Oryzias latipes: one gene and its partner. The protein of the gene in region 1 interacts with the protein of each later gene in a biochemical or structural test. Links are inferred from orthologs where the notes say so. Each region holds a gene or a part of one and is shown on either strand. Other genes may lie near its edges.

Evidence for each region.
Region 2: of the proteins of dapk3 (region 1) and pawr, one has a biochemical effect on the other in vitro, tested with the Homo sapiens proteins (2 studies listed by BioGRID). The link is inferred for Oryzias latipes from reciprocal best matches to the Homo sapiens genes DAPK3 and PAWR.

What each region holds. Positions count from the first base shown.
Region 1 is NC_019875.2:30,203,991-30,210,342, reverse strand, and holds the start of dapk3 (death-associated protein kinase 3), read left to right. Parts: upstream 1-2,724; 5' UTR 2,725-2,831; intron 2,832-2,864; exon of another isoform or gene 2,865-3,293; intron 3,294-3,388; 5' UTR 3,389-3,414; coding exon 3,415-3,476; intron 3,477-3,976; coding exon 3,977-4,337; intron 4,338-4,560; coding exon 4,561-4,690; intron 4,691-4,762; coding exon 4,763-4,811; intron 4,812-4,896; coding exon 4,897-4,923; intron 4,924-5,006; coding exon 5,007-5,159; intron 5,160-5,347; coding exon 5,348-5,393; intron 5,394-5,546; coding exon 5,547-6,083; 3' UTR 6,084-6,352. Other genes in the region: sppl2b (signal peptide peptidase-like 2B), read right to left, coding at 934-981. UniProt on the Homo sapiens protein: Serine/threonine kinase which is involved in the regulation of apoptosis, autophagy, transcription, translation and actin cytoskeleton reorganization. Involved in the regulation of smooth muscle contraction.
Region 2 is NC_019881.2:19,317,680-19,323,857, forward strand, and holds the start of pawr (PRKC apoptosis WT1 regulator protein), read left to right. Parts: upstream 1-2,036; 5' UTR 2,037-2,221; intron 2,222-2,468; 5' UTR 2,469-2,591; coding exon 2,592-3,095; intron 3,096-6,178. UniProt on the Homo sapiens protein: Pro-apoptotic protein capable of selectively inducing apoptosis in cancer cells, sensitizing the cells to diverse apoptotic stimuli and causing regression of tumors in animal models.

The DNA.
Region 1 (6,352 bases):
AGGGTGGGGGTTCAGCTTCCTGACAGCCTGGTGGAGAAAACTGTCTCTGAGTCTCCATCCATCCATCCATCCATCCATCCATCCATCCATCCATCCACATCTTGGGTAGAAGAGATCCAGGACCAGCAGATCCAGAATCAACATGTGGATCAATCACTAACAGTTCACAGCCAGAGGATCCATAAGCAGTGATGCTTTTGTTTTGTTTTGCTGAAGTGCAGCGGCGTAAAGCAATACTAACTATTAATACAAATTTTTATTTTTACTCCCGTCTTAATATTTTCTTTGTCTTAAGTGAGTCGTTTAGATTTCCTGTTCTGATTTTCTTTACATCTTTGTTTTTGTGTATTTTCAGTCAAACAGTAATGTCAGTTTTTTCCCCTGCGACCTAGATGATTAAATATTTAACCTGTCTTCTTCTTACTCTAGTAAAGAAATATGAACAACAATAATAAAGAGGGTTCGAAGCAGATCACCCTGCTGCTTGGTGGTTAAAATGTCTCAGGAGGATGAGGAGGACGCAGCTTTTCCTTCAGCATCAAACCGGAAGTTGGGATGGTGTCACGCGGAAGAGACGACGACCTCGGAGTAAAAATACCTGATGGCTGAGTCACCGAGCTAAAGTCGAGATGTTTTCTCCAACTGTAGCCGCCAAGCTTGTTCTCCTCACGACACATGCCGAGTTGGAATCTTTAGCTCGCGTCCTATGATTTTTCCCGTTAAAGACGCGGTTCTCCGTAATGTCACACCAGAAGGTGATGCGTGCCTTGCGTGGGTTGTCAGGGCCCACAGGGATCTCCGCAAGCTAACGGACATAGCATTCATGCTAACACGCCACAGAAAAAGGAGACCTGCGTTGTTGCCGACCTGTCTTTTTTTTGGTGACGAAATAAATAAACAAACTTTTGGTCACGTGATTGTAATTGATCTCACCTTCTGGACGAGGAAAGCGGCCCAAATCAGTGTTTCGGGGAGCCTCATGTTGTCTAGCTTGTTGTTGTTTTCCCCATCAACCAACCTACCGGCTTCACCGTAAACCCCGCCTGTAAATTAAGTCAGGACTTGTCATTGGCTGTTGCTGGCCTTTGCAAGTAAACCCGATTTTGATTGGTTATAACAGAGGTCGGTCTAAACCAGTGACCGTAAACCCACGTACATAATAAAATCATTCTACACGTCACTCTGCAGTTCAATTTTATGTAGTTACAATCAAAGAAATGAGAAAAATCTGACATTGTCAATACTCGTGCCCTATCGATTCCACTAACAATGTGATAATACCTCTCTTTACTATACGCCGCGCAGTGCTCCCTGGTGGTCTAGTGGTTAGGATTCGGCGCTCTCACCGCCGCGGCCCGGGTTCGATTCCCGGTCAGGGAACTACCGTTTTGTAAATATTATTATTCAGGACCTTAATGGCACTTTCATAACACAGTATCCTATATATGTGGTGGAACACATTTTTTAAATCCGAATTAATAATCGGTAGTATTTATCTCTCCACAGTGTAGCAACCAACCAATGTTAAAATGGTTAACGGTTACAATTTGAAGTAAGCTGATACTTGATATTTTATGAGTCATTCATAATACTGTTAAATTTTTATCCCGCGGCAGCAAGGCTCAGGTGAGGTCACCAGCACAAATCCGCAGACAGTAACGTGAGTCATGAGACGTTTCCTCAGTATGAGAATAGTGTTGTTTGGTGGAGAGTTGCCTTCTTCAGCCTCACCAGAGCGATCCCGCTTCTGATGTTGTACTTCTATGTTTTTAATGTTTAGTAACGGGATGCGCTGCCGTTGGTCTCCCTTTGTGGATTCCCTTGAAGTTTAGACGCATACTGCAGACCCCGCAGGTACAGTCTTGTGTACTGACGTACTGCTGCAGAGCCTCGATGACGTCATTCCATATGTTCTCCCTTCTGCCAGGTTTTTGCCTGTGTTAAGATCATCACCCGCACCGGAAAGCAAACCAGCGGGACTTCAAAATAAAGCTCTTTAGTAAATTAGTAATTTAGTAAAGAAATGAAAAGTAATGACTAAGTGGACGGAGAATATTTTTTTCTTCGGGAAAAAAAAAAAAAAAAAAAAAAAAATCAAAATAGTGTCGTTGGAAACAGATGAGTGACCAAATCAGAGAGGCTTGTCTCCATGAAGGTTAGATGGCAGATCTAGGTTTGTTTATTCATTTTTTTCATGAATTTATTAATGTATTCATTCATTTGTCCATTCACACATGGATATATTTATACATGTCTTTATTGATTCATATGTTCTGTTGTTTCTGCTGACTGGAGGCTCTGATTACCTCCATGTATGGTAATGAAAATGCTTTTCCCTTTACTATGCATGAGTCTTTCCCCTTACCGTCACAATGGACTGGAAACATCAGAACTGGGTCTGGGGAAAAGCAAAAAAGGAAAAAGACAAACCTGTAAAGTGAATTTTTTTTAATTCCATTTATTAATTTTTTAAAATGTGTTTTATTCTTTATCTAATGAACAATAGCACATGACAAAAACATGACTTAAAAGCTTAATAAGGGCCAATGGCTCTAAATACAGAACAAAAAATAAGAGTAAAACAATTTGTAATGCAATGCTTATTTTTTAAACATACATGGGGTATAATTTTATTTTAAATGACTTTAATTGAAGCTGTTTAAGAAATAAAACAAATTTAAAAGCATAACATGAACATTGATGTTTTATGTCAGTCGTTTGACAGACCTTTATTTTGAAGTGCCAGACCGGAAGCTTCCTGTTAGCTTTCCGTCTGTTCGTCGAGCTGAAGATTCAGTTTAATGAAAGCAGCGCTCCTCGGCAGTATTCCCGTGAGTATCTTATTATATTCCAGTAGAAATACTTCTGAATACTCGCGTTCTCACCGGAAACACATGCCTGGGAATCAATAACGCGCTTCTGTTGGCTTGAACAGTAGTTTTTAAACCGTTAAACCGGGTTTTTATGCTAGCTCTGGGAGGCTAGCAGTATTCAAGCATCTGTTTGCGATCATTCGTGAAAAAGTTCAGTAATGTAATTGTGTTCATATTTACTTAAATTGTAACAGAGGTGGGGCTTTCTACCGATCACCGGTAGAAAAACGGTGATCCCCGGTGTTGCCGCTTCTTTTTAACCGGAAACCCGCTCGTCGGTTGTGTGTGGATGTCCCTTTAACGGAGCCGCTCGCAGCTGGAGGAGATGATGTAAGGAGGGCCGGTATGTGGAGGGCTGACACCAGCCCCAAAGTCTAGAAACTCACGATGCCCAAATATGGCGTTCAGACCCAAACGGAGGTGACCGGCGGCGTTAGGGTGTTAGTTTCCTTCGCGGATGGACACACTTTGGCTGTCTGTCGGTGTCTGACATGACTCTCCCGTTTCCATGGCAGTAACGATCATCAGTGAAGTCAGCAGCATGGCTGGCTTCAGGCAGGAGGACGTGGAGCTGCATTATGAGATGGGAGAGGAGCTGGGCAGGTAAGAGCGTCTGTGAAACGTCACCTGTCATGCCAATGCCTTCTGGGAAATGCAGTCTCCGGAGTCAGTTTTTGGAGCACCATCCATCTGCGAAAGTAAAACGTTTTTATGCTCCTCTGTGCTGCTCAGCTTGGGAATGAGCGAAGTGAATGTTGTGCAGTAATGCAGCAGAAATGTGACGTGGCGCCTCACGGCCCCCTTCTACCTCTGCTGCGTCCAAAAGTCCGTCTCTGCTCAAAAAACTGCTGACTCCAGCATTCATTAGGGGAGCAGTCGCTCTGCAAGCTGCTGCTTTTGGTTTTTGTCCTTTTTTGGTCACATTTTCCTCTTGATGCATCAGATCATCTGTTTTTGTTCATTACCTTTAATAAACTCCCCTAAAGGCTTGAATTTGTCATTTTATTACCAAGAAGCCGATTTCTGTCAGATGTTCTCTTTGTTCAAGTTTGGCGTTTGTCAAACGTGCGGTTGGAGGTTTTGACGCCTCTGCTTCTCCACAGCGGCCAGTTCGCCATCGTCCGTAAGTGCAGGGAGAAGAGCACGGGCGGCGAGTACGCGGCCAAGTTCATCAAGAAGCGGCGTCTGTCCTCCAGCCGGCGGGGGGTGAGCCGCGAGGAGATCGAGCGCGAGGTCAACATCCTGCGGGAGATCCAGCACAGCAACATCATCACCCTGCACGACATCTTCGAGAACAAGACCGACGTGATCCTGATCCTGGAGCTGGTGTCCGGAGGAGAGCTCTTCGACTTCCTCGCAGAGAAGGAGTCTTTGACCGAGGAGGAGGCCACGCAGTTCCTGAAGCAGATCCTGGACGGCGTCCAGTACCTGCACTCCAAACGCATCGCTCACTTCGACCTCAAGGTCAGCAGCATGGCGGGAAAAGGACGTTGTTGCTGCTTCTCATGAGGGATTTACAAGTCGGAGTCGCCACCAGAAAAAAAAAAACCCTCAATCTGACCCCCTTAAGGAGGCAGCGAGTCATTCCGCCTTAAGAACACCACAAACACATAAAAAGACGTTTTGTGACCTTGAAGGTCGTTGGGTGAGGCTTCAGTCCAGAAATGTTCTGCATCTTATCTTTCAGCCGGAGAACATCATGCTGCTGGACAAGAACGTTCCCAACCCCAGGATCAAGCTGATCGACTTTGGGATCGCTCACCAGATTAAAGCAGGAAACGAGTTCAAGAACATCTTCGGGACTCCAGAGTTTGTGGGTGAGTTTCTCCGGCGGTTCTGCTGGAGTCGATCCTCAGATCTGATGCTAATGACGGCGTTCTGGTCTGCAGCTCCTGAAATCGTCAACTACGAGCCGCTCGGCCTGGAGGCGGACATGTGGTGAGCCTCCCCCCCCTCCCCCCTCAGCATCTCACCTGAAGCTGCACACCTGTCCAGCCCACACTCATGTCTGTTGTCTTTGCAGGAGCATCGGCGTGATCACGTACATCCTGTGAGTCAGCCGTCCCGTCTCAGCGTTGGGTGGGGTGGGGTGGGGTCGTCCTGGGTCGGGTCTGACGTGGTTTTGTGCGTTAGGTTGAGCGGAGCGTCTCCGTTTCTGGGCGAGACCAAGCAGGAGACTTTGACCAACATCTCTGCCGTCAACTACGACTTTGACGAGGAGTATTTCAGCAACACCAGCGAGCTCGCCAAGGACTTCATTCGCCGCCTCCTGGTCAAGGATCCAAAGTAACCACGTTTCTAGTGTCTGTAGTGACTAACCTGGTTCCTTTATCAGACACGGGTTATGCTTTAATGTTTCTATGCTGCTTCATTTCAAAGATTTCCATTTGTCTTCTTTGAGGGAACCTTTATTAAGAGAAAAAAGGTGGCATCATGTGAAAGTGTGCGTTTCTCACTGCTCTGACCTCCTGCAGGAAGAGGATGACGATTGACGACAGTCTAGAGCATCCCTGGATTAAGGTGAGTGTCCGAGCTTCTGATATAAAGGTTAGAAACATTTCTGTGGATGAACGTCTCCCTCAGACATCAGCGTCACGCAGGGGGCAGAAATCAAATCAGCAGGACGTTTCCCCTCCAATCAGATCTTTGCTTCATACCTTCTTTCCCTCTCAGGTCATTAAGAGACGAAACGTCCGGCCAGAGGAGGGAGACCAGAAGACCAAGCGCCGGCGCCTGAAGACCACCCGTCTGAAGGAGTACACCATCAAGTCCCACTCCAGCATGCCCCCCAACAACACCTACGTCAACTTCGAGCGCTTCTCCCAGGTGCTGGAGGAGATCGCGGCTGCAGAGGAGGGCCTGAAGGAGCTGGAGCACAACCAGCGCTCCTGCCAGGAGGACGTGGCGGCGCTGCTGTCCATCTACGAGGAGAAGGAGGGCTGGTACAAGGAGGAGAACCAGAGCATCTCCTTAGACCTGAGCCACATCCGCCAAGACCTGCAGCGCACCCAGGCCCAGCGGAAGAAGTGCCAGGAGGAGACGCGGCTCACCACGCAGGCCGCCAGCATCCTGAAGCGCAGGTTCGGCCGCCTGGAGAACCGGTACGAGGTCCTGGCGGAGCAGGTGGCCTCAGAGGTGCGCTGGGTGGAGGAGCTGGTGAAGTCCTTTTCTGAGGAGAAGGCCGCCCTGAGCCCAGTCAGCTTGGCCTAGACCGGTTCTGGTCCAAAGACTCCATCTGCAGTTGTAGGAACTGCTTATAGTTTTACTGCTTTTATGCGTCGAGCTGCATTTTTATCCTAAAGCTGTACGTTATGAGGATGTTCATTCCATTCTAGACTTTTATCCCAAACTCACTGCAGTAAGTTCTTAACATTTTACATTTATGACTTTTTAGAATGATTTTCCTAAATGAGTCATTTTCACGTGAACATAAAGGACCAGGAAATTATTTAATGAGACGAGCTTTACTAGATTCGTGA
Region 2 (6,178 bases), on another chromosome or scaffold:
GAGCGTGCAATCGACAGGCGGATTGGTGCAGCGTCCACTGTTATGCGGTCGCTTTACCATTCTATTGTGATGATGAGAGAGAGAGCTGAGCCAGGAAGCAAAGCTTTCAATTTACCGATCGATTCTCGTTCCAATACTCATTTTCACAGAAAAAAACCCTGAAATAAGTCAATAATTCTTAAAATTTTAAAATGCTCCTTAAATAAAGCAACAAATCTTCTAATGGTGTAAAAAACAAACATCTTACCAAGAACTCTTATTTAAAAAAATAAATTCTAGTACCTTAGATAAACCATTGAAAAGATTCCGTTTTTTCTGTGCATGAAAAATACCACAAGAACATGTTAAAAAAACAACACTATTTTTATTAAAGCAGGTCTTTAAAAAAGACAAATGGAAAAGAGTTATAATCAACTGAACAAAGAGAAAGTTGTAGTTTTTCAGAAGCTTATTTGATGACAGCTTTTCTGCACCACAAGATCCAGCAGCTGTGAGGGTCAGAGTCACTGCAACACAGCAGGAAAAACTGCCCCTCAGTGAAATCCATCAACATATCTGTTAGCGTTAAAAGTCACGGAGAGCATTTCCTCCTGCTGAAGAGAAGAGGAGCCATGTGGTTTGTGAAGGAGCTAAGCAGGAGAGATTTCAGCTGATGGTGCAGATTTTTTTTTTTTTAAGGAGTCTGGCTGCTTTCCATCTGGAAACTGGAGCTGCAGGACTGAACTGTCGGACCTTCAGTCCAGACTAGAACCCACAGATCAACGTCAGACTGAAGATCAGCTGATCCATATCATGCTAAATCTGTTTTTTTTTTCCTGGGAAATGTTTTTAAATAAAACTGCACCTTTTTGAACTTTCACACGATGCACCTTTTCCAAAACAGCGTAAGAAACGTTTTAGTTTGATGCAAACCTCCAGTCCACACCCATTCCCTCCTCAGGCATTGCTTCTGTTGGGAAAACAGTGGAGGCGCTCCTCTGATCGGAGCTGGCTGGGTGACTCCTGCAGCGCCTGGGGGGAGTCTGTGTGGGAGAGTTCAGTCGCAGACAAGCTCTGGTCTGCCCAGACGCTCCTCTCCGACTGCACTACTGTCGACGTGGTGCTGCTGAAGGAGCTGTGGTGATGTACGTCAGAGCTGCGAAGGCGTGCAGTGTACCTACTGATGTTGATGGACAGAAAGGATTCCTCCAAATGTACCGCCAAAACATCAGAAACGTTACCGGCACTGTGATGGAACAAAAAGGGCCGTCTTTGGCAAACCTTGTAGAAAAGACCACCTTTTTCCTGCACAAACACGAGTTTTTAGACAATTTCTTAAAATGGAAATGTTTTTCTCAGAGTTCAGCTCAAAATGAGCAAAAAACTTGTAATTGTAAATAAATAAATGAATCTCCAAATCATCAAATCTGAGGATAAATGGCAGAGATCAATTATTTTATTTAAACTTAAAGTAGGTTTTATTGATATGTGTCATTTACATACATTTCGGAAGGCAATTATATTATTATTTTTATTATTAGAGGAACTTTATTATACTTTAGTAGTATTTTATCGTGGACTTTTAGGTTTTATTTTAAGTTTTTGTTTTGTTTTTATCTTTTCAGCCGTAATTCTTTTTTTTGTTGCTACAAATTGCAGTAAAACATTGCAAACTGCTGCAAATTTGTACTTTTATTAGTACTTTCATATTTAAAAAAATATATTTGAACCATATAAATTCTATAGTCATTATTTTGTAACACAAAATACAGTTGTATCATCAGCAAATGATAGAAAACAAACAAAAAAATACTGAAATGAATTGAAATGATATTTCAAATTATGAAATATCATGAAATATGAAATTATGAAATGTATTTTAAACTTTAATGTCAGTGGTGTTTTATCAAAGACATAGAATATTAAGTGTTTTATTTTATCTTTTGTTCATTGTTTATTAAAATTAAACATGAAAAGCATAAAATAAATAACGACAAATAATATACACAAAACATTTATAACTAAGTCCTAAAAAAAACCAAAAAACAAAAAACAAAAGAAACTTTAGAGCTTCGGCTTTATCCGGAAGTGCTCGTGTGTTTTCGCCATCACCTCCGCGAGGGCAGAGCGAGCAGAGAGCCGCACGCAGCGCTCCGGAGCAGCGCCACTCATCTGAGCGGAACACGTTCACACCTGGTCTGACAGAGGAGGGCAGTTCGACGGCAGAAGCGGCGCCTCTCAGGTGAGTCTCCGTCACAGCCTCGCTGCTCCGTCCTCCACTGTAAAGTCCGGTAGTTTGGGCAAATTTAAATAAAAGAAGAAGAAGAAGAAGAGGCCAGAGTAACTTTGCGAGGAAAGTCAGGTGTGTGTGTCTGTTTAAAAAAACAAAAAACTCCTGCGCGGAATCAAATAGGGCGTCTCGGTTTGGAAAAACGAGCAATTAAAAAAACAAAAAAGAGGTGTTGACTTTATTTTCTTGTACCTGTCAGCAGCTCCTGGGTTAATCACTTAAGGAATGCGGCGCCATTAGGACGGGGGCCGAAAGCGGAACACTTTAGTCAACTTTGACTCAACTTTCACCAACTTGTGAGGAGAGAAAAAGCCCGGGGGTGATGGCCACGGGCGGGTTTAAGCCAAACGCCACCACCGACTTTCTGGAGGAGTGGAAGGCAAAGCGGGAGAAAATGCGGGCCAAAATGTTGGGGGACATCGCCGCGGCCACCGGCGCCAACAACAGCCGCCACGCTTCTCCCGCCGGCGACAGCCCGGAGCGGGGCGCCTCCGCCGGGAACTGCCACCCCTCCCCTTGCGCGGTGGTTCGGTCCTCCTCCGGCGGCGCTTTGAGGAGAGCGGAGGAGGAAGCGGCGCACCACCCCGTCTCGCCGGAGAGCAGCCCGAGGAAGGCCACGCCTCAGGCGGACAAGGCTCCCTGCGCGTCCCCGGACTCCAGCCCCATGGCGTGCAACGACGCCGACAAGGAGAGTCCATCACCCGGCAAGGGCAAGGAGAAGAAGAGCTCCGGCCCCAGCGCCAGGAAGGGCAAGGGGCAGATCGAGAAGAGGAAGCTGAGGGAAAAGAGGAGATCAACAGGTGTTGTCAGCATACCGTCCAATGAGGTGAGTCCGTCCGTCCGCCCGGGGCTCCATCCACGGGATGAGGGCAGATAAATGTAGTCTGACATTTTTCAGATCACTATACCCGATCACTAAAGTGGACCTGATCCGATTCCAGTTTGATACCAAGTCCCGATCCAAAACTTAACACATTCAATAATGAACAAATTAAATAAACGGGTCCAGGTTGTGCCCTACTTTACATTTAATTGACCTTAAGTTATAAGTTATGCTTCATTGTGGCCTTTTTAGCCAAAAGTAAAAAAAACAACAACTTGTCATTTCACTTTCTAGGACATAGTTTCTGCAGAGGGGCAGTCTTTAATTAGAAACTTACCTCAGAGTTGTGGGTTTGTGAGACTGTATGTTTGGAGTAAGCCCACCCCCTTTTCCCATCATCCAACGGTTTACTCTCTCTCTCCCGCTAGCTTACTGCCCTTCACGCCACCGAGCTAACATTACAGGCGCAACAAAAACGGCGAGCAATATCGGAGCCCTCCGGCCGTACAGTTGAGATCCAGATTCAGATGTGTGACGAGAAGTGGGGCGGGCTTACGCTGTGCCAATAGCCCCGCCCACAACTTGGAGTCGGATTTCTTATGAGCTCCTGCCGCTCTGCAGAAACTATGTCCTAGAAAACCACACGCTGGGAACGCTTTTACAATAGATCAAAGGATGATCAGAGTGGGACTTTGAAGACAAACCAGTAGAGACACTCACTGTCAACTTTAAATGTTTCTTGAAAGATTTTGAGCCTGGTAGTCAAATTCTGTGAATTTCTTGCCGACTTCGCTGAACTGTTTTTCTGTGCACCTCCTGCTCAAACAAGTGTCGTATTCTGCTGCGTTTTAATGCAATAAAGTGATCCGTTCATGATATGAAGACTTCTACCAAGGCATTTATGTGAAATAATAAGTTAGAAATATGAAACTACATGATCTGGCCTGATCTCCGATTGTAGTTGGATTGGGACTTCCTTAGTTTTAGGGGCGCCAAAAGACTTTTTCTTTGTTTTATAGAGTTGGAAAAGGATTTAACCTTCTTCTTTTTCTAAATACTTTCTAAAAGTAATCACATTTGGAGAACTTGTTCCCTCAGAAACCTCCAAAATTCCTCTCATGCATGTTAATCCACCATCAAGAGAAAGAAACGAAAAGCAGCTCTTGCAGGGAGGAGGGGGTGGGGGTGGGGGGGGGGGGTAAGGTGGAGGTCATTGTTTTTTTAATTTGAATGGTGTACCACTCCTGCCTGGTTCCTTTCGTCTCACACGTGTGGTTCTGTGTGGCCCTACCCTTGGATAAAGTCTCAACCACCTCGTCCTTGGTAGCCTCCCAGGGTTCTGTGCTCCCAGGAGTTGGAGCTGTTGTCGGTCGCTGCTCCACATCCTGTCATTAGGTGCTCAGCAGGGCCGTTTGAAAGCCAGCCAGGCGGTAATGCCGGGCTTCTGCTCTGCCAGATTTGTCTGATGGAGCCCATAAGGGAGCCGGTTGGTGAACAAGCTGTTATTTCAGGGTCTAATCTGACGAGGTGGGGAGGTTTTTTTTTTTCTTTTTCTTTCCTTTCGTCAATTTTTCAGTCTTTGAAATTGAAACCTGGGCTGCATTTGTCCCTCAGGCCGGACTTTGGACACGCCTGACCTAAAGGACACACGCCTTTCTTTCTCTGACATACACCCTAACAGAGTTCTGCTTACAAACAATACATTTTTAACCCTTGTGCTATCTTGTGGGGTCACAATGACCCCACATCGACGTGTTCTCCCTACATGATAAAGGTGGAAAGATTTTTTGTAATCCATGGACACCAGTGAAGATCACAAATCATTGAAGAAAAAAAGTTCAGCGCACTGTCTAGTGGGTCTAGATGACCCAACTCCCAATGTTAAAGTGCTTAGGATAGCACAAAGGTTAAAGGAAAATATTTTAGTCTTTTGCCAAGCATTTTCTCTTTCACCTTTCAGAATTCAACAATTTGCACACTCATCAGAAATTTCGCCATTCTGGTTAAACGTATTACCGATCAAAAAGAGGAATCATTTGTTGCCATAGCAACAGGAGATGTTTCGTCTTCCGGGCTTCACCTCCAACCGGGTTATGATTGTAGCCACTTCCTAACACAACACCCATGCAATACTTTATTGTTGGGGTGGGGGTGTAGTTCTTTTTGTGAGGAGACTCTTCCTTATCGATGGACGTGCTCCATTGTTTTGGAAAACATCCCATCGTTCCTGATGGGGACGTGTCCTCCTAGACCTCCCTCCCTGCTCCCGTTGAAAGAACAAAACCCTGCAGAGTCACACAAGCCCCCTTTTGTGATGTGGATGCGAATGGACGGGTGTGAGCGGACATGGCTGCCATTATCTCCCCGCCCGTTCCGCACAGAACAATGGCCGCCGAGCCGATTTCAGAGCAACCGGGAAACCCAATCTTCTGCCCGTTCAAGGCTGTAACTGCTCCATAAAAGCATCCCGCTTCAGGGGAGAGAGCGCGGCTTCAATCACTGCCACCTCCGAGGGCGTCTCCGTTCTGCCGCTCCGCTCGCTGCCTCAAACTGTCGCTGACCCTTTGACCTGGTTATGCAACCCAGGAATGTGCAGAGGGGAGTTAGGAGGCCTTCCGTCCTGGTAACTCCTGTTTGTGCTGAAGTATGACTCCTGTCGGTGAGTTTCCCGGTGGACCGTGTCGGTCGTTTATGAGCTACACGAGTGATGAGGTTGCGGTTAGACTCCTGTTGAGGGCTTTGCCCTCATGCAGATGCTTAAATGTCCCACTGCTGCTGCTGCTGCTGCTGCTGCTGCTGCTGCTGGGTAGTGTGGGGCTGCCAGCAGCCCACAGCTATTCTCCTGCAGCTTCACTGAGGAGGTCAACCGGTCTAACGTGCAATCCTGAGCTCAGCACTCAGCCCGTTAACACTCCTGTGATAGGAGGCCGGGGGAGACGAGAGGGGCGCTTGTTCGACCCAGACCTTCGTGAAACCAGAAGACGCCTCCGAGAGGCTTTTTAGGACAACCCAGCCCAACAGCCGTGTCATTCATTTAAGGAAACCTCACAAATGACTGGAAATGAACAATTGAAACTCTCAAAAAA